Linked DNA regions of Ovis aries. The protein of the gene in region 3 interacts with the protein of the main gene of each other region in a pairwise test. Links are inferred from orthologs where the notes say so. Each region holds a gene or a part of one and is shown on either strand. Other genes may lie near its edges. The genes, in order: serine/threonine-protein phosphatase 2A regulatory subunit B'' subunit beta, EIF5 and DUSP12.

The links.
Region 1: the proteins of DUSP12 (region 3) and serine/threonine-protein phosphatase 2A regulatory subunit B'' subunit beta interact in binary tests that used the Homo sapiens proteins (3 or more experiments, as listed by UniProt). The two-hybrid records come from large-scale screens. The link is inferred for Ovis aries from reciprocal best matches to the Homo sapiens genes DUSP12 and PPP2R3B.
Region 2: the proteins of DUSP12 (region 3) and EIF5 interact in binary tests that used the Homo sapiens proteins (3 or more experiments, as listed by UniProt). The two-hybrid records come from large-scale screens. The link is inferred for Ovis aries from reciprocal best matches to the Homo sapiens genes DUSP12 and EIF5.

What each region holds. Positions count from the first base shown.
Region 1 is NC_056080.1:7,320,904-7,327,675, reverse strand, and holds the end of serine/threonine-protein phosphatase 2A regulatory subunit B'' subunit beta, read right to left. Parts: intron 6,233-6,772; coding exon 6,143-6,232; intron 5,418-6,142; coding exon 5,242-5,417; intron 3,134-5,241; coding exon 3,015-3,133; intron 2,924-3,014; coding exon 2,817-2,923; intron 2,023-2,816; coding exon 1,872-2,022; 3' UTR 1,361-1,871; downstream 1-1,360. UniProt on the Homo sapiens protein: The B regulatory subunit might modulate substrate selectivity and catalytic activity, and might also direct the localization of the catalytic enzyme to a particular subcellular compartment.
Region 2 is NC_056071.1:65,723,537-65,731,020, reverse strand, and holds the start of EIF5 (eukaryotic translation initiation factor 5), read right to left. Parts: upstream 3,823-7,484; 5' UTR 3,753-3,822; intron 3,619-3,752; 5' UTR 3,409-3,618; intron 2,394-3,408; 5' UTR 2,186-2,393; coding exon 2,114-2,185; intron 2,000-2,113; coding exon 1,918-1,999; intron 1,424-1,917; coding exon 1,251-1,423; intron 986-1,250; coding exon 874-985; intron 340-873; exon of another isoform or gene 213-339; intron 1-212.
Region 3 is NC_056054.1:113,138,389-113,145,946, reverse strand, and holds the start of DUSP12 (dual specificity protein phosphatase 12), read right to left. Parts: upstream 4,105-7,558; 5' UTR 4,071-4,104; coding exon 3,727-4,070; intron 2,808-3,726; coding exon 2,694-2,807; intron 2,606-2,693; coding exon 2,487-2,605; intron 1,697-2,486; coding exon 1,600-1,696; intron 1,293-1,599; coding exon 1,106-1,292; intron 1-1,105. UniProt on the Homo sapiens protein: Dual specificity phosphatase; can dephosphorylate both phosphotyrosine and phosphoserine or phosphothreonine residues. Can dephosphorylate glucokinase (in vitro).

The DNA.
Region 1 (6,772 bases), on a different chromosome or scaffold from region 3:
CATCTACATAGAGGCGTGGGCCACTGTACGGGTAAATGGACAGAAAGGTACACACAGGAATGGGTGCGCGGGTGGGCAGACGGAAGGAAGGATGGGTGGATGGACAGAGGTAGCGGGGGAGGTGTGGACCGGCGGGCGCATAGATACGGATGGCTGACCGCACAGACGCATGGATGGGCGCAGGGACTAATGGGTGGCTGGTTGGGGGCAGGCGTCTTGATGAGCAGTCGGGAGGGTGGAAGGAGGAGGAAGGGCGGATGGCGTGCAGGTAGAAGGCAGATGGGCTCTGCCGGTCACTGTCGCCCGCCCCCGCAGAAGCAGCGCCGTCAGGAGACCGCTGCGCGCACCTCCTGACAGGATGGGACTTTGCTGTCCTTTCTCGCAGGCATTTCCCCCATGGCTTTTCCAGTCTTACTTTTGCAACGGGTGGGTTCTTATCTCTTCAATCTCTAAACCCCGGGGCCGACAGGTCTCACCAGGTTTTTTTTCTCTACGTTCTGAGTTTCCTCTCCTCTCTGCTGACCTCCCGCATCTGCCGCTCAGTGGGATGAGTCAGAGACGAGGTGGGTCCCTCGAGGGTCTTGGTGGCCAAGGGGAAGGCCCGGCCTGTCTGAGCTCTGAGGAGATGGTGGCCACGCCCGTCTCCCAGGGACGCCTGGAGACTCTCCCAGGACCACATGGCTGTGGAGTCCGCCCTCCGGACGGTGGGGCAGCCAGGAAGACAGGCCCGTGTGGTCTAGTGTGAGGGACCCCCACTCCAGCTCCTGCCGCCCCACCTACTCTGGGAGGGCCTGTGTCCGGCAGGGGGGCTCAGCTGCAGAAGGGAGGAGGGCCTGTGTCTGGCACGGGGGCTCAGCTGCAGAAGGGAGGGACCCTCCGCGAGGTCTGCTGGGTGCCAGGACCTGAGACAACCTGCCCAAGGCCTGGTTGGGGGATGCTCCTCGGCCACCTCCACTGGACACGTGGGAGCCCACCCTCCCCTGGAATCTCGGGTTGATGCTGTCCCGTGGGGCCCGGAGCAGTGCTGGACCCGGGGGTGGGCGGAGCGGCGTGGAGGCCAGACGTCTGGTCTCACAGCGCGGTGTGGGCAGGGGAGGCTCGCACCCTGTCGTGCACAGAAGTGACCGCAGGGGAGCCGGCCGCCCCGGGGCCATGCAGGGACCGCCGTGGCCAGAGTGCAGGCTGCACGGCCCTGGGGCCCCGGCCTGTGACCCGTGCCCGGCGGCTCCATGTCCGGGGGGCCCTGCACACCCCACAGTCTCCCTGCGGGGACCCCCACATCCGTGCCATGTCCATCTGTGACCTGCGTTCAGAATCCCCTGCTGCCGTGTCTTGTCTTGTCTCAAGGTTAGCCTCAGGCTGAAAATCCTTAAATTCTTTATTTCAAAATACAAACGTGATCTCATAAAACTCTACACCGCTCTGCACAGCAAATAGAAGGGAACTTTACACATCTTGTACACGTACACAGAAATGCTGGGCCGCACTGACCTGGGTGCTCCCTCGGCCCTGCCCGGGGCGGCATCCCTGCAGGGGCCCTGTGGGACAGCGGGCGCTGTGGCTTCTGGAATGTTCCTGCCGACACAGCCGGCCCAAGGTCAGCGCGGGGACAGTCCGGGCAGACCCACCACAGCACCGCCGGATTCCCACCGGGGTGAACCGTCCGCTGACGGGGGCCTCCAAGCGCCTGGACAGGGCAGCGGGCCTAGGCCGCCTGCCTGCTGGAGAGGCACCGCGGGGCCGTCTGCAGCCGCTTCTGTGCCAAATAAAGATGCACGCACCACAGAGAGACGAACTGCGCTGGGTGAGGCCGACGGCTGCTCGGCCGCGTTCCCCACCCACGGGCCACGGGGGCCCCGAGGAGCCGCGGGTCACGAGGGCGGCAGGTCGTCGCCCCCACACTCGTACTCGTACAGCTCGACGGTGCCCAGGCCACCCGGCGCCTCCAGGAAGGGCCTCTGGGCCAGCGGGGACCGCAGGGCGCTCAGCTTCTGCTCCACGGGGCTGAGCTCGGCCTCGTATCTGCAGGGAGGGGCCCGTGAGGACAGCGCCCGCCCTCCGCGCCCACCGTGTGCACCCAACACCCTGACACCTGGGGGCAGGACAGCGGGCCCACTGAGCATCTGTGTGCACACATCACCCTGACACCCGGGGGCAGGACAGCAGGCCCGCTGAGCAGCTGTGTGCACCCAACACCCTGACACCCGGGGGCAGGACAGCGGGCCCGCTGAGCAGCTGTGCCCCCCCAACACCCTGACACCCGGGGGCAGGACAGCAGGCCCGCTGAGCATCTGTGTGCACCCAACACCCTGACACCCGGGGGCAGGACAGCAGGCCCGCTGAGCATCTGTGTGCACCCAACACCCTGACACCCGGGGGCAGGACAGCGGGCCCACTGGACAGCTGTGTGCTCAGCAGCTTAGCCGCCCAGCTGGCTCCCCACCCTGTCCCCCTCTGTGGGATCTGCACCCCTTGGGGGCCTGCGGGTGCCACCCCCAGAGGATAGATGCGGCCCTGACAGGTGCCTCACAGGGGCCCTGGTGGGACCCTCCGTGGGCTGGGGGAGGGCCTGACTCAGCAGGAAGAGCTCCCAGACTCAGGGCGCTAAGGCCGGGCACCTGGGGCAGAACCAGGCACAGTTCGGAGTCAGAGTGTCCCCACCCTCGGCGGCAGGGCCACAGTCCCTTGGAAACCCTCCCCCAGAAGCGGCAGCCAGGGGTGGTGTCCTCCCTGCCCCAGCTGGCAGCCCTTTCCCTGCCCCCGTTCCCGGCCACCCCTCCTCCCGGGACCCAGTTCTCCGCCCCCCGTGCGCTCACCCGTCCTCCCAGGGGTCCCCCGCAGCCTCCTCGGCCACCAGGATGTCGTACTCCTCAGCAGCGAAGCGCTCCCAGTCGGACAGCTCGGGCCCCTCGCTCTCACTCTCCTGCAGAGCACGGTAGGGTGTCACCCAGGAGCGGCCCGGCGCCCCCTCCCCCGCACGTCCCCCGCAGGCCTCCCCCGTCACCTTCCCTCACCCTGAGCAGGGACGCCTGCTCTTTCTGCTCGTGGTCCAGATACTTCTCGATGTTAAAGAAGGTGTCAAAGAACACGTTGGCCAGCTTGCAGCGCTTCAGGTCTTGCAGCGTGATCCTCCCTGCGGGAGGGGCCCGGGTGTGAGCGCGTGGGTAGGGGTGCACGGAGGGGACTTCAGGGGACAGCTAGGAGCGTGGGTGGGTGGGGTGGGGGGCGCAGGGCGTGAGCGCTCAGGGCAGCCGCGGGGGAGGCGAAGAGGAGTCTCACGGGCCCCTGGGGCAGCTCATTGGCGTGTGGAGTGGGGCTCCTGGACGCAGGGCAGCTCATGGGCACATGGGCATGTCATGAGCACACTCACGTGTGCAAAGCCACACGCCTTACGGCACAGCACTGTGCACTCTGCCGCCAGCCCGGCCACAGGAGTGCTGCCGGTGTGGAGAAAGCCTGGCGGGTGCCTGGGGGACCAGAGCCCTGTGTGTCCCTGGAGGTTCGTCAGGGGATATAGGGGTCCGCACGCCTAACCCAGAGGGTGGGACCCGAGCTGCCCTAGACCACGGACACGGAGCCGGACGAAGCCTGGGCCGGGCAAGAGGGCCCAGGCACGAGGCCCCAGGACGAGTCCACAGGGCAACACCCGAGACTGGGCTCCCAGGACACAGGACACCCAGGTGTTCCACTTGGAGGCAGAGACTTCCTGTGACCTTGGCAGGCATCCCGGGCGCCCTGGGATGTACCCACCGAGCACCCTGGCTCCCAGATCAACCAACGCAATCCCCGGGCCACGGCACCGGGCCTGAGAAGGGCAGCCCTGTGCAGGGGGCCCCCGCACCGCCCACACTGGGGTCCCGGTGGAGTATGACAGAGCACGGCAGAGGAACATGGCCGAGGGACACGGCAACCGTCCCCAGCCCCGGGGCACACTCAGTCCCCACGTCAGTTCACCACACGCGCGCGGTGAGGGCGGGGCTGTGAAGGTCGAGTCCAGACTCAGCGGTCACACTCGAGGGCTGAGGGCGGGGCCACAAGGATGGCGTCCACCCCAGGGGTCACTCGCAAGGGCTGAGGGCGGGGCTGAAAGCGTCATGTCCACCCCAGGGGTCACTCGCGGGGGCTGAGGGCGGGGCTGAAAGCGTCATGTCCACCCCAGGGGTCACTCGCGAGGGCTGAGGGCGGGCTGCGCATGTCCACCGGGGACGTGCTGACGGTGCGCCATGTCACCCCGGGGTCACACTGAGGGCCTGAAAGCCCTGACCCCGGGGTCACACCTGAGGGCTGACATGTCCACCCCAGGGTCACTCCTGAGGGCTGGGGCGGGGCTGCCATGTCCACCCCGGGGTCACACGGGGCTGAGGCGGCTGAAAGCCCATGTCCACCGGGGTCACCCTGAGGGGCTGAAAGGCCATGTCCCCCAGGGGTCACACGTGGGGGCTGAGGGCTGAAAGGCATGTCCACCCCGGGGTCACTCGCGAGGCTGAGGGCTGAGCCCATGTCCACCCCGGGGCTGAGCGCCATGTCCACCGCAGGGGTCACTCCAGGGCTGAGGGCTGGCCATGTCCACCCTCCTCCCTGAGGCGGGGCCCCATGTCCACCCCAGGGCACACCTGAGGCGGGGCTGGGTGTCCACCCCATCCCCTGAGGGCCCCACCCGGGGGTCACTCCCTGAGGGGCTGAAAGCCATGTCCACCCCGGGGTCACCCACTGAGGGGGCTGGCGTCATGTCCACCCCAGGTCACACTGAGGGCCTGAAAGCGTGTCCACCCCAGGGGTCCACCTGAGGGCGGCCCCCCCCCCCCGCGGGGCCCCATGTCCACCCCGGGGCCCCGGCTGCAGCGCCATTCCACACCAGGGGTCACACGGGGCTGAGGGCCAGCGTCATGTCCACAGGGCACTCGCTCTGAAGGGCGGGGCCACGAGGCTGGACCACGTGCACGGTGCTCAGTCACTGCTCCTGGAGAAGTACTCCGAGCTCAAACCTGGACAGCGCCCCCATCCCCACCCCCAGTGTCCTCTCCCAGAGCACCCCACCACATCCAGGCTGCTGGGGTCCCCCACAGGTGCCCCCACGTCCCTGGGGAACCCCTCCAGGCTGAGCCCCATCCCCCCCGGAGCTCCCCACTCCAGGGGCAACCCTATTCCCCAGGGCATCCCCACACCCTGGGTGTCCCCCTCCCCCTTGGGGCCCCACTTCCCAGGGGCGCCCCCTCCCCAGGGCCCGGCCCCGCACAGCACCTTCAGTCTGGGGCTTCACCAGGTCCAGCATTTGGCACAGGCAGTCCTCGAAGGGCAGGGCCTCGATGGCCATGCTGTCCAGCCGCCGGCACTGCTCCTCGTAGAAGTACTCCAGCTCAAACATGGACAGCGCCCCATCCCCGTCCAGGTCCATGCAGCGGAACCAGTACTCAATGCTGCGGCCGGGAGGGCCAGACGTCCACTGGGACGGCCGTCCACCCAGACCCACTCCGACCAGGGTGACCCCACCTCTATAACCAGTGCTCAATGCTGCGGCCGGGAGGGTCACACGTCCACCCAGACCCGCTCCAACCAGGGTGACCCCACCCCCGGGCCCAGTCCTCGATGCTGAGGCCAGGAGGGTCACACGTCCACTGGGACGGCCGTCCACCCAGACCTGCTCTGACCAGGGTGACCCCACCTCTATAACCAGTGCTCAATGCTGGAGGGTCACATCCACCCCCACCACCAGAGTGACGAGATGCTGCGGCCGGGAGGGTCACACGTCCACCAGGACATCGTCCACCCAGACCCGCTCCCACCAGGGTGACCCCACCCCTGGGACCAGTACTCGATCCTGCGGCCGGGAGGGTCACACGTCCACCAGGACGTCGTCCACCCAGACCCGCTCCCACCAGGGTGACCCCACCCCTGGGACCAGTCTTCAAGGCTGTGGCCGGGAGGGTCACACGTCCACCAGGACAGCCGTCCACCCAGACCCACTCCCACCAGGATTAGGGAGGGACAGACCCCACCCCCGGGACCACCCCCTCATATGAGCCCCTCCGAGACGCCCTCACAGGGATGGGCCGCAGGGGGGCGCCCTCACCAGTGGGTAACCACTGGGCTCCTCTTGCGAGGGTCCCAACAGCCTGGACAGAGCGCAGGCCCCGACACCCACCTGGTGGGGGTCTTCTTGTCCTCCTCGGAGATCAGAAACCAGACAAAGTCCGCGTAGCTGATTTTCCCTTCCTTCTGCACCTTTTTCCCTCTGGATTCAAGAGACGACGGCAGCGTCAGGGAGGAGCAGCCTGAGGCCCAAGTCCCTGCCCACGTGCAGGGGTGACCGGAGCCCTGCAGGGACCCGGTCCCAGACTGGACCCCACCCGGAGGCGCCTGAGAGTATGTGCGGGCGCAGAAGGCCTCTCAGAGCCCAAGGGGGCGGGGCGCGGGGGTGGGGGCAGAAGGACATGCCCAGCTCAGGGCCCCTCACAGCCTGCATGCCCAGGCCCTGTGTCCCCCTCACGCACGGTGTCACATGGCAAGAGCGTGCTTTGTGTGCCCGTAACTTATGACATCACACGTGTAATGATCACGTGTCCTTTACACACGCCCGCACATGACAAAGGCATGTGCGTCCTTTACATACGACCTTACACGAGCGGCACACGTGTCTCTCTTATTCATGACTTCCTGTGACAATGGCGTGTGTCCCCATTACCTGTGACCTCACATGGCAAAACCCTATACACGAGCTCCTAAGGCACGACCTCAGGTGCCTCAGAACACGGCCACCCTGGTCAGGAGTGAC
Region 2 (7,484 bases), on a different chromosome or scaffold from region 3:
TAGGCAACTGAGTCTAAGAAAGAAAAGCCAGTAAATATCAGAGGTATTAGCTGTTTTAGTAAAATTAAGAGTTGGATGCCATGTAGCAACTCAACAATGAAAAACAGACCACACAAGTACTTGAAAGTTGGCACTCATGACCCTCTCTTTCCACTCCTCATAAACTGATCAACAAGGGTATTCTCAACTATGCTTCAGCCAAAAACTAGAACTGTGTTCAAGTCTATGTAACGGCTAGTCTCACAGAAAAGAGAACACCGGAATAGGTTAGACTTTTTTGCTATAGCAAGCTCAAATTGTGTCAGACAATTTTGATTTATCTGCCACAGAGTGTTGCTTGCATGCTCTAAAGCCACTCTGGCCTACTGAGCCAAGGCCCTCATGTACAAATGAGTATTCCAGAAGCAATCCATGGGGTTGCAAAGAGTCCGACTCAACTTAGCAACTGAACAATTCCAGAAGTAGATCTTTACTATGACCCCATCACAATTTGTCCAATATTTCATACATCCTAAAACGTCTTAAAAATTGAGGATATGGTTGAGTTTAATGGTAGCCTGTACTTGACCTTTAATAGTACATACAACAGCAGGTTCATCAAACAGCTGACTTTTGAATGTTAAGCTGAAACCACACCGATCCATTTACATGGAGTTCCCCACCCCCCAATAATTACATACTACAGTACTACACTATTCACTGTTGGTTGGTTGATCCTTGTATACACAGGGCTGACCTTATTATAAGCAAACTTTCACCTGCACAGGTGTTCAAGGATTAACCTTATTCTATATAGCGGTAAAGACACTTCCACTGTTTTCAACAATCAGTTGCTTTATGTCAAGGTTTTAGAAGTTCATCACACGCACTTACCAGGTGGGTTTTTGAGAATGAATGTGCAGAGTTTATGATGTGTGTCAAGCATGCCTCGATAGCCACAGGCTTTACAAGAATTACCTATTGTTTGCTTCTTTGGATTGACATGCTGTCAAAAAAGTAAAAATATGTCACCCATTAACACATGATGAAAATTCAAAAACAGTGTGAAACTAACCATCAAAAGCCACCTAAACACCAGTTTAACATCAAAAGAATTTTTTTAAACATAAGGTCAGTATGGAAGCATCTGTAAAATTTGAGGTTTTGCAATTTACGTAAGTCTACTCTGCCTTCTTGGAAACATGATTTGGTGACATCACAGAAATAAATACACTTTTTCTCCTACTGACAAGAACCTCAAAGGCACTCACCAGATCTGTTTCAGGATTCTCACACTCAGGACAGAGAACAAATTTTTTAATGAATCCATCCAACATGTCTTGCAGCTTATTCGCCTCATGAGATCCATTGACAATGTAACGGTCATTCTTAACATCAAACTGGGTCTGTGCTCCCAGCTCACAACCAAAATATTTGGTGGGATCTATTTGGGGGGAAAAAATTTTAATTTATTACAATTAACTCATCTCTGGATGAGTGCTAAGTCACTCAAGTCATGCCCGACTTTTTTTGACCCCATGGACTGTACCCTCCAAGGGTCTTCTGTCCATGGGATTTCCTAGGCAAGAATACTACAGTGGGTTGCCATTTCCTACTCTAGGATTCTTTAGCTCCTCACTCTCATTTATAGAATTATTACTCTTTTTAATTTTTATTTTTTTAACTTGTTTCACTTTACAATACTGTATTGGTTTTGCGATACATCGACATGAATCTATCAGTTTTTAAATGGACAAGATTAAGAAAGTGTTGCCCTGGTAATTTTATATACTAACTAATGCTATCAATCAGTTTTAAATCCAAGTTTCCATTTAACTCAAAAGCTAACTCAATTCAGGCAAGATTTGCAGACCAGAGAGCATCACAATTATGTCAATAAAATGCCTTCTCAGATTCCTTTCAAGAAGCATTACTTACACGTTGGAGGCCGATTAAGCGCTTTCGCTACGTCAACCATGTTGACTATAACTGTCTTGATTCCATTTCCTTTGCCCTCAACCTAAAGGAAGTAAAAAGTTTAATTTTTGCATTGTCCACACTGGGGGAGAAGTAACCTTTAATAATCCATGAAAAAAGCTTAGAACTTGTTACTAAAATGAAGATTTAGTATTACCTTGGCAATCAGACGGGGCATCTTGTAGCGATAGAACTGGTCTGACACGCTGCGGTTGACGTTGACAGACATTTTGGCTTATTAGTGACTTTATCAATAAGATGAAGAGATCTTTGATTGCAATTTTTTGGTATCCTCTGTCTGGAGAAGAAGGGATGACATAAACGACTGCAAGAGTTCTCGGTCTCTGACATGAAAAATTTTTCGCCGCTGAGGCTGTAAGCTTCTTGCTTGTATGCTATGTTTCCCCAATACAGGTGCCAGTGGCTGCGCAACAGCTCTGGAAGAGAAAACAAACCAACCCCCACGTTTAACAACTCCTGCAACGAAATCCCTCCCTGTCCGCTCTGTATAATTACGCCTACTTCCCCTACGTTAAAAACATGAGTTTATGTACAAAGAACAGCTACTAGTCTCACGTAACACGGGACACGTGCAGCAACAAAAAGCCTTCATTTTGACGAAGATGCGACCTTTTTTTTGGTCGATGCCTGACTGAAACAGGACAAATTACGCTGCATCAGCTTTTCATCAAACCAGTCATCACGTCGACGGCTTGCTTCCGTGGGTTGGCCGTATTTTAACAGAAGGACCAACCCAGACTGTGGTACCCACAAACTTCTCAGACACATCAACATCACTTCAAGACGGCAGGCTGTGGAGTTGATCTTCGAGGTCGAAGCCTTTGGCTGCAAGCGCTTACTTCAGAACCACACTTCCGTTAACTACGCCCGCGGAGCACGATCTTGCCCGACTGGCGCGCGCGGAGGGTGGACCCCTTCCCCTTCTCTATGCAAACACCCGGCCACCTTCGCGCCGGCCCCCAGCTGTCAGGGCTGACCCGGCGGCACCCGCAAGGCGGGCGCGGCGCCGGCGGCGACATCGCCAGCTCCCACGGCAGCTCCGCCTTTGCGCCGCCCGGGGCGCCCTCCGCCGACGCAGGGCCGCCGCTCCGCCGGGGGAAGCGAAACCGGCCGAGGGGCGCCGGCCCCGCCCCGCCCCGCCGCGGCGATGACTCATAAATGCAGCAATTAGGCCTGAGTCAGCCCCGGGCGGCGGCGGGGCCGCGCGGCGCGCTCCCGGGAGGCCGCGGTGGGGGCGGAGGAGAGGCGGGTGCGGCGAGGAGGGGACGCGGAGGCCGGCCCCGCCGCCCGCCCGAACTGCGCCACACACTCACACACACGCGCGCGCGCGCTCACAAACACTCACGCGCGCGCGCGGGTCACGCGGCGCGCCGCCATCTTGTGCGGCCGCCATCTCCCCACCGGCCCGAGCCCGCCCGCTCGCCGACTCACCGTTTTCGTCAAATAAAGACATAAACCCAACGCTGCTCGCCCGGGACTGGGATGAAGTGAGGCGCGCGAACCCGAGTCCGAGGAGCGGCGGCGGAGGCGGCGGAGGCAGCGCAGCGAGCAGCGGCCGGGCCAGGCGCCGCCGAGCAGCGGGGAGGGGCTGTCCCAGCGACGTCCGGGGTCCACACCCTTCAGCGCCCGGGGCCTGGCGACCTGGCGCGGAGAGACGGCGCAGTGAGCTGCGGGCGTCGGGGCGCCTTCCCCGCCAGCCAGCGGCCCGCGGGGGTCGAGGGGGCGGGGAAGACGGGGGAGGGGGCGCGGGGCTACCGCCCCTCCACCGGACTCACCTCTGGAATGTTCTCGCTCTGACTGAACAACGCCGCCGCCGCGCTCAAGCTACCCTCGGCCCCAGCGCCCGCCCCCCGCGCCAAGCCGCACAGCCCATTGGCTGGCGGTTCGCCCGAGCTCGCTCGTCATTGGCCTGCATGCCGCGTCTGTCGCGTTTTTCCCCGCCCTTTCTGCTTCCTGAGGCTCCACTCGCCGCCTCCGCCCGCCCCCAGCCCCGCGTTCCGGCTTCCTTCTCTCGCTCTCCCTTCCCCCGCTTTTCCCAGAGGCCTTCGCGGTCTCGCGAGAGTGGGCGGGCCTCGGCGGCAGAGGTCCGCCGCTACACTGCGCTTTGTCGGTTTGGGCGCCGGGGAAGATGGCGGTTGGTCCTTCCCCTCCCCCGCTGGCTGCGTCGCGGCTCCCGAGGCCGCGTTCCCTCAGGTGTTCCCGAGACGGGTGCGGGAACTCTCGGGGCTTCCTCTCTGTCCCTTCTTTTCCGGTGACCCTCGTCCTCCAGTCTTGAGAAAGAAGTTGGTTTTCTTCCACAATTCCCTAGGCCTGGGCAGAGGGCGAAGCTTAGAGGGTCTGCGTCTTTCGTCCCACGTGCCGCCTTTTATCCTCCGAAGCTCAGGTGTGCGTGGTCGCGGCGATCGTGATTCAGCCGTCCGCCTCGCCCCTTCCCCGGCGCCCGCTCTGCAGGCCAAGCTTGACTGGTGTCTATTGTCCACATGTTTTCTAAAGAGGAAAACACGAAAGTAATTCTTAACCCCTGGACCTCCTGGAAGTGATGTTGGCGTGGGGAATGTCTCCATGTTCTCGTGCTCTACCAACACTGCTCAAAATAAGCCTCGCATCACCTTACCGTTCGTGGAATCATTGCCCCCACCTCCCTCCCAGTGTTTCCGAATTGTGACCTCCTTGCTGGGAAAGCAGAGACCAAAGTGGGTGTACTAATGAGGTTCCAGGTCCAGTGTATTCACTTGCAAATGATTACAGTTTACCAGAGCTGCTCAAATTTTAGTTTTGGTGATTACAGAAACATTCTCATTCTTTCAGATACTTTTATTTTGTGTAAAATTTCGGTTGCGACTGTAAAAATGCAGAGTCCACCTTGAAATGTGGAAACATACTTCATTATAATAGAGTAAGAGCCAAATAACCGAGCGGTTGGAGCAGTGTCCTGGGCAGCTGTGTGGTTTCCCGGATCTGGATGAAGTAGCAGTGTTGCTGAGGACAGGGTGAGTGGATAAGGGGCCGACCTTTGATTTACACCATTCAAATTTGCAAGGTTAGGATTAAAAAATGTTGATTTTTAAAATCAAAGTTCAAGATTGCTCTTGCAAGGGTTTATAAGCTTTATAAATCATTTAGAACCCGACAGGGTCAGTGGGAAGAATAAATAAAAGGGAGAGAGTAAATAAAATGGATGATCCGGAATTGAGAGAAGTGATCTGTCCCTTGCTGCAGGGGCTTTTATTACAATCACACGATGTTAAACCAAATGCATAATGCTTTATGGATACCAGGATTCCGGTCACACAAACTGGAAAGATAGATCCAGACCTGCTTCTCTGGTTCACGCTGAGGCATGACTTAGCAGTATTGAAACTTTGAGTTTTGCATGACTGCACACAAATGACATTATTTTAGAAACTAGTTTATGAGCATGAAACTAGTCTGAGGCTAGAGGCCTGCTTCCTCAAAAAGTTTTCTAATAACTAAATACAAAGTGATAACTTTTTGGATCATGTTTGATGGCCCTGCATTTAATTTCATTGAAGTTAGTACTAATTTTAATTTTTAGTACATGTGTTATTCATTGTATCTAATCATGGACAATTTTTAAAAATCTCAAACATACCATTTGTTGAATGTTTTTCATAACCTAGAATTTTCTAAGTCCTTTGAATACACTATTTCACTTACTTCTTTGCCTCTGAGGAATCTTTATTCCCATTTTACAAATGAGCAAACTGAAGCTTACTGGAAAAAAGCAGCTTGCCCTAGATATATTACTAAGTGGTAGAGCTAGAATCAGATCTCTCTGCTCCCAGGGTCTGTTCTCTTAACCATCATACCACACAGCCTTTCCAGATGAATATAACCATAGAGAAATGTAGGATGTGTAACCCTAGTTATGCATGTGTAACCTCATTTAATTCCATAACATTCACATGAGGAAGTGTTGTTATGCCCATTTTACAGATGAGCAAAGAGACTCAGGAAGATTAAGTTTCCTCAAGTCACCTGTCTAGTAAATAGTGCAGTGTTTGAACTCCAGCTTGACGCCAAGCTCATTGCACAATTCCATCTCCCGCTTCTGGGTCTCCGCCTCATTTGGCTGCATTCTTTCCCCCAACCAGGTACTCACAGTTTACTAAATAAGGGTACTTGGTGCTATGAAATCCCTGTCGAATGTGTGCCTGAACTATGCATTTCAGGTAATGTCCTGGGCAAACATGATTAGCTACTGAAAAGGTAAATTATTAACTTGGCCTTATGATTGTTTAGTAATTGGTGTCTGTGAATCTGTTTGGCATGACTTAAGCAAGACCAAGTCTGTGTGCCCTGGGAACCTTGTGCTTCTGAGCTGAGGGCCACTGAAGGGATCAAGGCATTGCCCTCTGTGATGGGCCTCCCTCTAAGACATGCCTCTCTCAGCTGTCTCTACCTTCTAGCATACTCTTAAAGCTGTGCATTCGTAGTGACTTAAGCTCCTGCCTTCCCTCCTTGAGGATGGGCTACAGGGTTATGCATTATTCTTTTTCTAGCTCAAGTCTAAATGTATGCAGGCAGACATTCGAAGCTGCTGGAGGAAACAAGGTTATCTGGGGAGTACAGAGGTAGTGCGGGGCGTTGGCTGTGTTGAGGGCTAGCGTCCTAAGCCATGTTAATCTAATGCACCCATGTCAGCAAACATTCCTGGGTTACTAGGCAGAGAGGATGAAGGCCCTGCCTACATCTCAGGCCCTGCCAAGGGAGACCACATGTCAACAAGTTGGGGTTAATACCTTCCTGGTGGGTACCCAAGTGAAGCTTACCCCGCTCCGTGGATTCACCGACCTTCTGGGCAAGGATGTCTCCCTGCCTTTGTGACTGGCCCCACTCCCACCCCAAACCTCTGGCATTCACGGCACTTTATTCCGGTTGCCTGTTCACTTGTCCCTCTTCTTCCTTAGGGTAAGTAACTTGTGGACAGGACGGTTCTCCTTGAGAAACACGGAATCTGGACTTTGGCTGAGGACTAGGGACCTTCAGTTGGGGAAGAGGACAGGTGCGTTTGAGGGGAAGAGGAGGTATCCAGGCCAGCTGTCACTGGAGACTGATAGTCTGACCAGAGTCTATCCTGTGTCACTTCTGGGAAGAAAAGGAAAAGTGCAAAGTGGCATCGAGTCAGTAGATGACGGGGAAATATGGGCGACTTGGAAGGCAGGCCCTGCCCTTGGATTGGTTGTCCCAGTCACACACAACATCTCCGGATGGGACAGTGACCACATTGGTGGCTTCTGGTCACCTCGGGTTCTTTCTTCAGGGAAGCAAGGTGTGTGTGTACTGAACTGGACCTTCTCCTCAGAGATTTTAGTGGCAGTGGGCACAGCACTTGCTCACGGGGTGCCCTGCAGCTGGCTTTCCTGCTGAGACTCTGGGTTCCCATTCTGCTTCCTGACAGCCATTTGCAAACCTTTGTGAGAGAACGTATGTCTTTAAAAAATGTTTATTTTTTGGTCGTACTGGGTCTTAGTTGTGACATGTAG
Region 3 (7,558 bases):
AGATTAAATAAAAGCAGCAAGGGAATTCTCTGGGCATCCAATGGTTAAGACTCCACGCTTTCACTGCTGAGGGCCAGGGTTCAATCCCTGGTCAGCAAACCAGGATCCCACAAACCACAAGAGGCAACCAAGATAAATAAAAACAGCAGGGCAAAAACATAAGCCACAAAAGAAAAAACAGATAAAGTGGACTTCAACAGATAGTATCAAGAGTAGGAACTGACTTCTGTACAAGGTTTATTTGGTAGCGATAAAAATGGTGACAGATTCTAAAACCTGTGAACATACTAAAAACCACTGAACTGTACACTTTCCATGGGTGAATTATATGGCAAGTGAATTATATCTCAATAAACCAGCAGCATCTGAAAACATGGGTTTGAATATAGGGTACCCCCTTCTAGGCAAGACATTAACTAATGTAGATTAAGTTTCCTCCTATATAAAATGTGAATATATATATCTGTTCCGTTTTATAAAATTATTGTATTCTTCAAATGAAATAGTGAGAGTTTCCTAAAAACTCACTATACAAACTTAGATAATCTTTAAACATCATTACATCTTAGATTAGGAATATCTTTACATTAATATCAAGTAAACCTAAAAGAGTTGTAGCTGTCACAGGATGCTCATATGAGCTGCATTCTTTAGAATTAGTAAGAAATGAAAAAGAATCTCGTAACAAACGTATAAAACTAAAAGAATCAAGAAAACAGAGATACAAAGAGCCAAAGGAGAAAAAAGGAAGATTAAGAAGAAATTTTAAATCTAATTTTAAAATCCATGATTTTCTCTACTTCTTACAAAGCTCAAGTTTTGCTAAATATTTTCTAATTTGTCTTAATTTAAAAAAATATAAACAATAGACTTAAAAGGAATTAACTGAGACCAAAAGCTCTCAACCAAAAAATGGATCATTATTTTAGATCACTTGGTTTTTATTTATCTTTGATAGAATCTTGCCTATACTACAAAGATATAATCTTTAGAAAGAAAGCAGTTAAGATGGAGTAAAACACTAGTTAAAGTATGGTTTAAAATGAAAGAAGGAACAAAACACAGATGACATAATAAAACTAAAGAAAGTAAAATGTGTTCTCACCTGTCCATCCATCACTCCCAACAAAGTGGATTCCATCCACTGTACAGGTTCAATGAAGTAAGATGTACACTGAGCCTGACTCCCGGTGGAAAGCACGGGGGATGCTGTCATCCTCTTGTGGGCAAAGGCTGTAGGACCACTTCCTTCATTATGATCCAAAATGCTAGAACTTCTAAATAAAGATCGCCTGCAACTCCCAAACAAACAAAAACATTAATGATTTCCAAAAGGATGGAAAAATAGATTAAAAGTGCACTACTTCTTAGACAGCAAGTTAATGTAACAATGATTATACTGTTTTAATTTTTGATAATCTCTACAAGTAACCAGGTAACTTTTAAGCATTCATATTCTTCTTGAAACCAGATCTGAATATGAAATTTCTGTATTATTCCATTAAACAAATTCTTCCTACAAGATTTTAAGAAACTGAAACTTTCAGTACTTTTCTACTGAGACAAAGTAAAATCTCCAGAGGATACAAAATATTTTACCTGCACTTTCTACATTTGTAGAGACCCCCATCTTTCAATCCTTGTGAAATGGCAGATGGGTCAACAGCAAAGAGTTCTTGAGGTAAGTTCTGCAATTCTACGTAACATAAAATGTATCCATTTGTCAAAATCAACTCTGCATTTTCAGACAAAATTCAGTTTGTGTCAAATTGAGGCAAGTTGCTCAGTGGTAAAGAATCCACATGCCAATACAGAAGACGCAGGTTCGATCCATAGGTTGGGAAGATCCCCGGAAGAAGGAAATGGCAACCCACTCCAGTATCCTTGCCTGGGAAATCCCATGGACAGAGGAGCCAGTCCATGGGGTCACAAGAGAATCAGACACAACTTAGCAACTAAACAACAAAATGCTAATCTCAGAAATTAAAAAAAGTCTCCCCTGTTGAGCAATGAGGACGAGGTGGGAGAGCACAGCAATGCAGCCCTTGGCTTCCAGGCACAGACTGCCTGACTTCAAATTAGAGCCAGCCATTTACAAACCACGTGACCCTGAACAACCTATTTCTTGCTAAACCGTGGTTTCAAAATGAAATAAAAGTACCTGCTTCAAAAGTGAAATAATGCACCTGAAGCATCTAGCGTCAGAGTAAACTACATCTAGAAAAGACTGAATGTGCTGTGCTTAGTTGCTCAGTTGTGTCTGACTCTTGGCAACCCCATGGACTATACAGCCCACCAGGCTCCTCAGTCCATGGGATTTCCAAAAGCAAGAATACTGGAGTAGGTTGTGATGACCTCCTCCAGGGGATCTTCCCAACCCAGGGATGGAATCCAGGTCTACCACATTGCGGGCGGATCCTTTACCCAGGCTGAGCCACCAGGGACACCCACAAAGGACTGAATACATACTGCCAATTATTACTTACCTGGATACTTCTCTGTAACCTTTTGTAAACGATATTGTTTATAAACTGCACTGGAGGTATCTACTTCACAGCCCATTGCCTGGTATAATTTCAGTTGCCACTCAAACCCCTCATTCATCCTGTAAGGGCAAACAGATACAGAGTTAAATTTTCTTTAAATAAAACTGCATCACAAAAGCAGAATTATTACTGTAACAAGTAACTCACTTGGCCTCTGGCTTGACAGACTTAAGGTTTTCATAGGCTTTTTCAAAGGTAAGCTGGTCAGTCTTCATTATAAAAGCGGTTATGACAGTCACACTTCGACTGACCCCTGCATGACTGAAAAAGAAACCTTTAAAATATCAAACAGCAACAATTACAAAAACAAAAAAACCCACCCCCTATAAATGGTAAAGTTTGGGGTCCACTTCTCGTCTGCTTCTTCTAGTCAAGTAAATCCTTTGCCTCTGAAATACTACTGCTGTACAAAAGAAGTATTCCTTTATTTCCTTATTCATTTTTAATTCTGTACCATGTGAATGCATTACCTACTGAAAAATAATTACACTAATTTTTTAACATCTTATAATGGCTTCAGAACAAATCTAAACTCTTTTGCTCTTGGTTTTAAAGGCCCTGGAGATCTGGTCCCAAACTTCTATTTTATCACTACCTTATGTTCTTTATGTAATATTTATAACAAAGGCTGGCTATAAAATTGCTGACTCAGTAAGCGTAAACTTGTAATTACACTCTTTCTGCCACTGCTACGTACTAATCAAATTTTCTCTCCCCAAATCTCCCCTACATCGGCCACGCCTGCCTCAAACAAAAACAATGAAAACAGCCTGTTCTCCCTCTGAAGTTTGAATAACCTTAACCTCTATTACAATAATCTCTCTTACTACACACCTCGCATCCTAGTCTGCATTTCCTCAGTATGTGTCTGGCTACTCGAGAAGAGATTTAAACTCTTTAGATGTAGAGACTTAGTCATTTATCTGAAGATTCCTCCTACCCTCGAAAACTCAGCGGCTGCAGAATGAACCAACACAAACAAAATGAATGAAAAGCCTGCGCGTCGTCAAGGGACCGTGTCCTGCCCACTCCTCTCTCTGACACAAGCCTACGCAAGAGGGTGGAGGTCCTAGCGGCCCGACAGCCCTGTGGTCCTCTTCTGGGCCCTGGGAGGGAAAGGGTGAGGTGGGCCAGGGTAGAAGCGTGGCGGGTCGCTCTCCCCACGGACCCGACCACTCACCAGTGCACCAGCACCGCGCGGCCCTCGGCGCGAGCCTGGACGATGAAGGCCACACAGCGGTCCAGATGACTGAGCAGGTCGGTCTCGGGTCTGTCCAGCGCTGGCACGAAGAGACTCCGTAGACCCTCGACCCCAGCCCCCGTTTTGAAGTTAGGCTCCTCCGAGTCCACCGTCAGCACTGCCGTGACGCCCGCCTCCCTCAGGTGGTCTGGCTCCGCGACGGCCGCGGCTCCACCCAAGAACAGCCCCGGACGCACTTCCAGCATGTTCCTGGCAGAACCGGCCCGGCTCTGGCCGCTGATCTGGTGCTCGCAGCCATGGCTCCCGTCCTGCGCCTCCAACATGGCGGCGCCCGGAGGCCGGGCTGCGGCGGGCCCTACCACCGAGTAGGCAATCGGCTAGAACGTCCTTATTGTCGGACCAGCCGGTCTGAGTTGCGCCGCTCCTGCCTCGGAGGATTTCGTCGACCGCAGGAACGCGGATTTACTGGGGAAGGTGACGGGGCTTCGGCCTGGGCGGAGCTAAACCCCATTCCACCGGCTTCCTATCGCTGACGCAAGCACCTACAGGGTTTGTCAGGCTCTTAGTGTTGAGATTTTACTACATTTCTGCGGAAGCAGAAAATTGATTCAAGTTGAAATGATGGTGCCACCAACTGAATCAGTACCATAGTCTTATACATTTGAAATACAACACTTTTACAGTACGTATGAAACCATTTGTTTGTAGTTCTCTAGTGACTTTTTACTTTTTTTTCTTTTTGCACCCCCCCTTTTTTTTTATTGGTATGTGACTTCTTGTTGGTGTATATTATTCTGTATATTTGAAAATATTGATCCCATGGTTTTGTGCCAGTGCACTCAAAGACCACCAAGAATCCAAGTGTAGTTTTAAATAAATTGAGTTTATTACTCAATCATGAACTGTATAATTTTGGGAAATGCAGGTCTTAAGACAATGTTTACTTCAGTCGCTCAGCCATGTCCAGCTCTTTGCGACCCCATGAATTGCAGCACGCCAGGCCTCCCTGTCTATCACCAACTCCTGGAGTTCACTCAAACTCATGTCCATTGAGTCGTTGATGCCATCCAGCCATCTCATCCTCTGTCGTCCCCTTCTCCTACCCGCAATCCCTCCCAGCATCAGAGTCTTTTCCAATGAGTCAACTCTTCGCGTGAGGTGGCCAAAATACTGGCGTTTCAGCTTTAGCATCAATCCTTCCAATGAACACCCAGGACTGATCTCCTTTAGAATGGACTGGTTGGATCTCCTTGCAGTCCAAGGGACTCTCAAGAGTCTTCTCCAACACCACAGTTCAAAAGCATCAATTCTTCAGCACTCAGCTTTCTACACAGTCCAACTCTCACATCCATACATGACCAGTGGAAAAACTATAGCCTTGACTAGACGGACCTTTGTTGACAAAGTAATGTCTCTGCTTTTGAATATACTATCTGGGTTGGTCATAACTTTTCTTCCAAGCAGTAAGCGTCTTTTAATTTCATGGCTGCAATCACCATCTGCAGTGATTTTGGAGCCCAAAAAAATGAAGTCTGACACTGTTTCCACTGTTTCCCCATCTATTTCCCATGAAGTAATGGGACCAGATGCCGTGATCTTCGTTTTCTGAATGTTGAGCTTTAAGCCAACTTTTTTCACTCTCCTCTTTCACTTTCATCAAGAGGCTTTTTAGGTCCTCTTCACTTTCTGCCATAAGGGTGGTGTCATCTGCATATCTGAGGTTATTGATATTTCTCCCAGAGATATTGATTCCAGCTTGTGATTCTTCCAGCCCAGCGTTTCTCATGATGTACTCTGAATATAAGTTAAATAAGCAGGGTGACAATATACAGCCTTGACGTACTCCTTTTCCTATTTGGAACCAGTCTGTTGTTCCGTGTCCAGTTCTAACTGTTGCTTCCTGACCTCCATACAGGTTTCTCAAGAGGTCAGGTGGTTCCCATCTCTTTCAGAATTTTCCACAGTTTATTGTGATCCACATAGTTAAAGACTTTGGCATAGTCAATAAAGCAGAAATAGATGTTTTTCTGGAACTCTCTTGCTTTTTCCATGATCAGCGGATGTTGGCAGTTTGATCTCTGGTTCCTCTGCCTTTTCTAAAACCAGCTTGAACATCTGGAAGTTCACGGTTCACATATTGCTGAAGCCTGGCTTGGAGAATTTTGAGCATTACTTTACTAGCGTGTGAGATGAGTGCAATTGTGCGGTAGTTTGGGCATTCTTTGTCATTGCTTTTCTTTGGGATTGGAATGAAAACTGACCTTCTCCAGTCCTGTGGTCCCTGCTGAGTTTTCCAAATTTGCTGGCATATTGAGTGCAGCATTTTCACAGCATCATCTTTCAGGATTTGAAATAGTTCAACTGGAATTCCATCACTTCCACTAGCTTTGTTCATAGTGATGCTTTCAGAGGCCCACTTGACTTCACATTCCAGGATGTCTGGCTTTAGGTGAGTGATCTCACCATTGTGATTATCTTGGTCGTGAAGATCTTTTTTGTACAGTTCTTCTGTGTATTCTTGCCACCTCTTCTTAGTATCTTCTGCTTCTGTTACGTCCATACCATTTCTGTCCTTTATTGAGCCCATCTTTGCATGAAATATTTCCTTGATATCTCTAATTTTCTTGAAGAGATCTCTAGTCTTTCCCATTCTGTTGTTTTTCCCCTATTTCTTTGCCTTGATTGCTGAGGAAGGCTTTCTTATCTCTCCTTGCTATTCTTTGGAACTCTGCATTCAGATGCTTATATCTTTCCTTTTCTCCTTTGCTTTTCGCTTCTCTTCTTTTCACAGCTATTTGTAAGGTCTCCCCAGACAGCCATTTTGCTTTTTTGCATTTCTTTTCCATGGAGATGGTCTTGATCCCTATCTCCTGTACAATGTCACGAACCTCCGTCCATAGTTCATCAGGCACTCTATCTATCAGATCTAGTCCCATAAATCTATTTCTCACTTCCACTGTATAATCATAAGGGATTTGATAATCATAAAAGAATCATAAGAGAATGTTAGGAAGATCCTATTACAGGATTTTGGGCTTCCCAAGGGGCACCAGTGGTAAAGAACCCGCCTGCCAATGCACCGAGACTTAAAAGACCTGGGTTCAATCTCTTGGGTCCAGAAGATCCTCTGGAGGAGGGCATGGCAACCCACTCCAGTATTCTTGCCTGGAGAATCCCATAGACAGAGGAGCCTGGCGGGCTACAGTCCATAGGGTCGCAAAGAGTTAGACACAACTAAAGCGACTTAGCATGCATACAGGATCTGAGCTTACATTAGATGAGTTAGGGCTAAGGGGCTATGGAAGCAAGACTTTGCTCTGGATTGGATGCTGTCAGGAAGTGGAGGTGATTCTATGATTCAGTATGTTAATAAATCTTACCAAAGGGAAAGAAGGCTAGAGAGACACTAAAGCTGTTATTGGTCAAGAAATAGCAGTCATGGTACTTGCATAATGATGGAAACATGGGGCAATGCAGCAGAATAGAGAGCCCAGAAATAAACCCTTACATATATGCGCAAATGATCTTTGGCAAGGGTACCATGACCAAACAATGGTTTTGTCAACAACTTTTTGGACATGACACCAGAAGCAATAAGTGGGACTATATCAAACTAAAAAGTTTCTGCATAGCAAAAGAAACAGTCAAAAAAAGGAAAGGGCAGTATACAGAATGGGAAAAAATATTTTCAAACCATATATCTGATAAGGAGTTAATATCCAAAATATATAAAGAACTCATACAACTCAACTGCAAATAAAAATAGAAAATGGGCAGAGAAACTGAAAAGATATTTTTTTTTCTAAAGAAG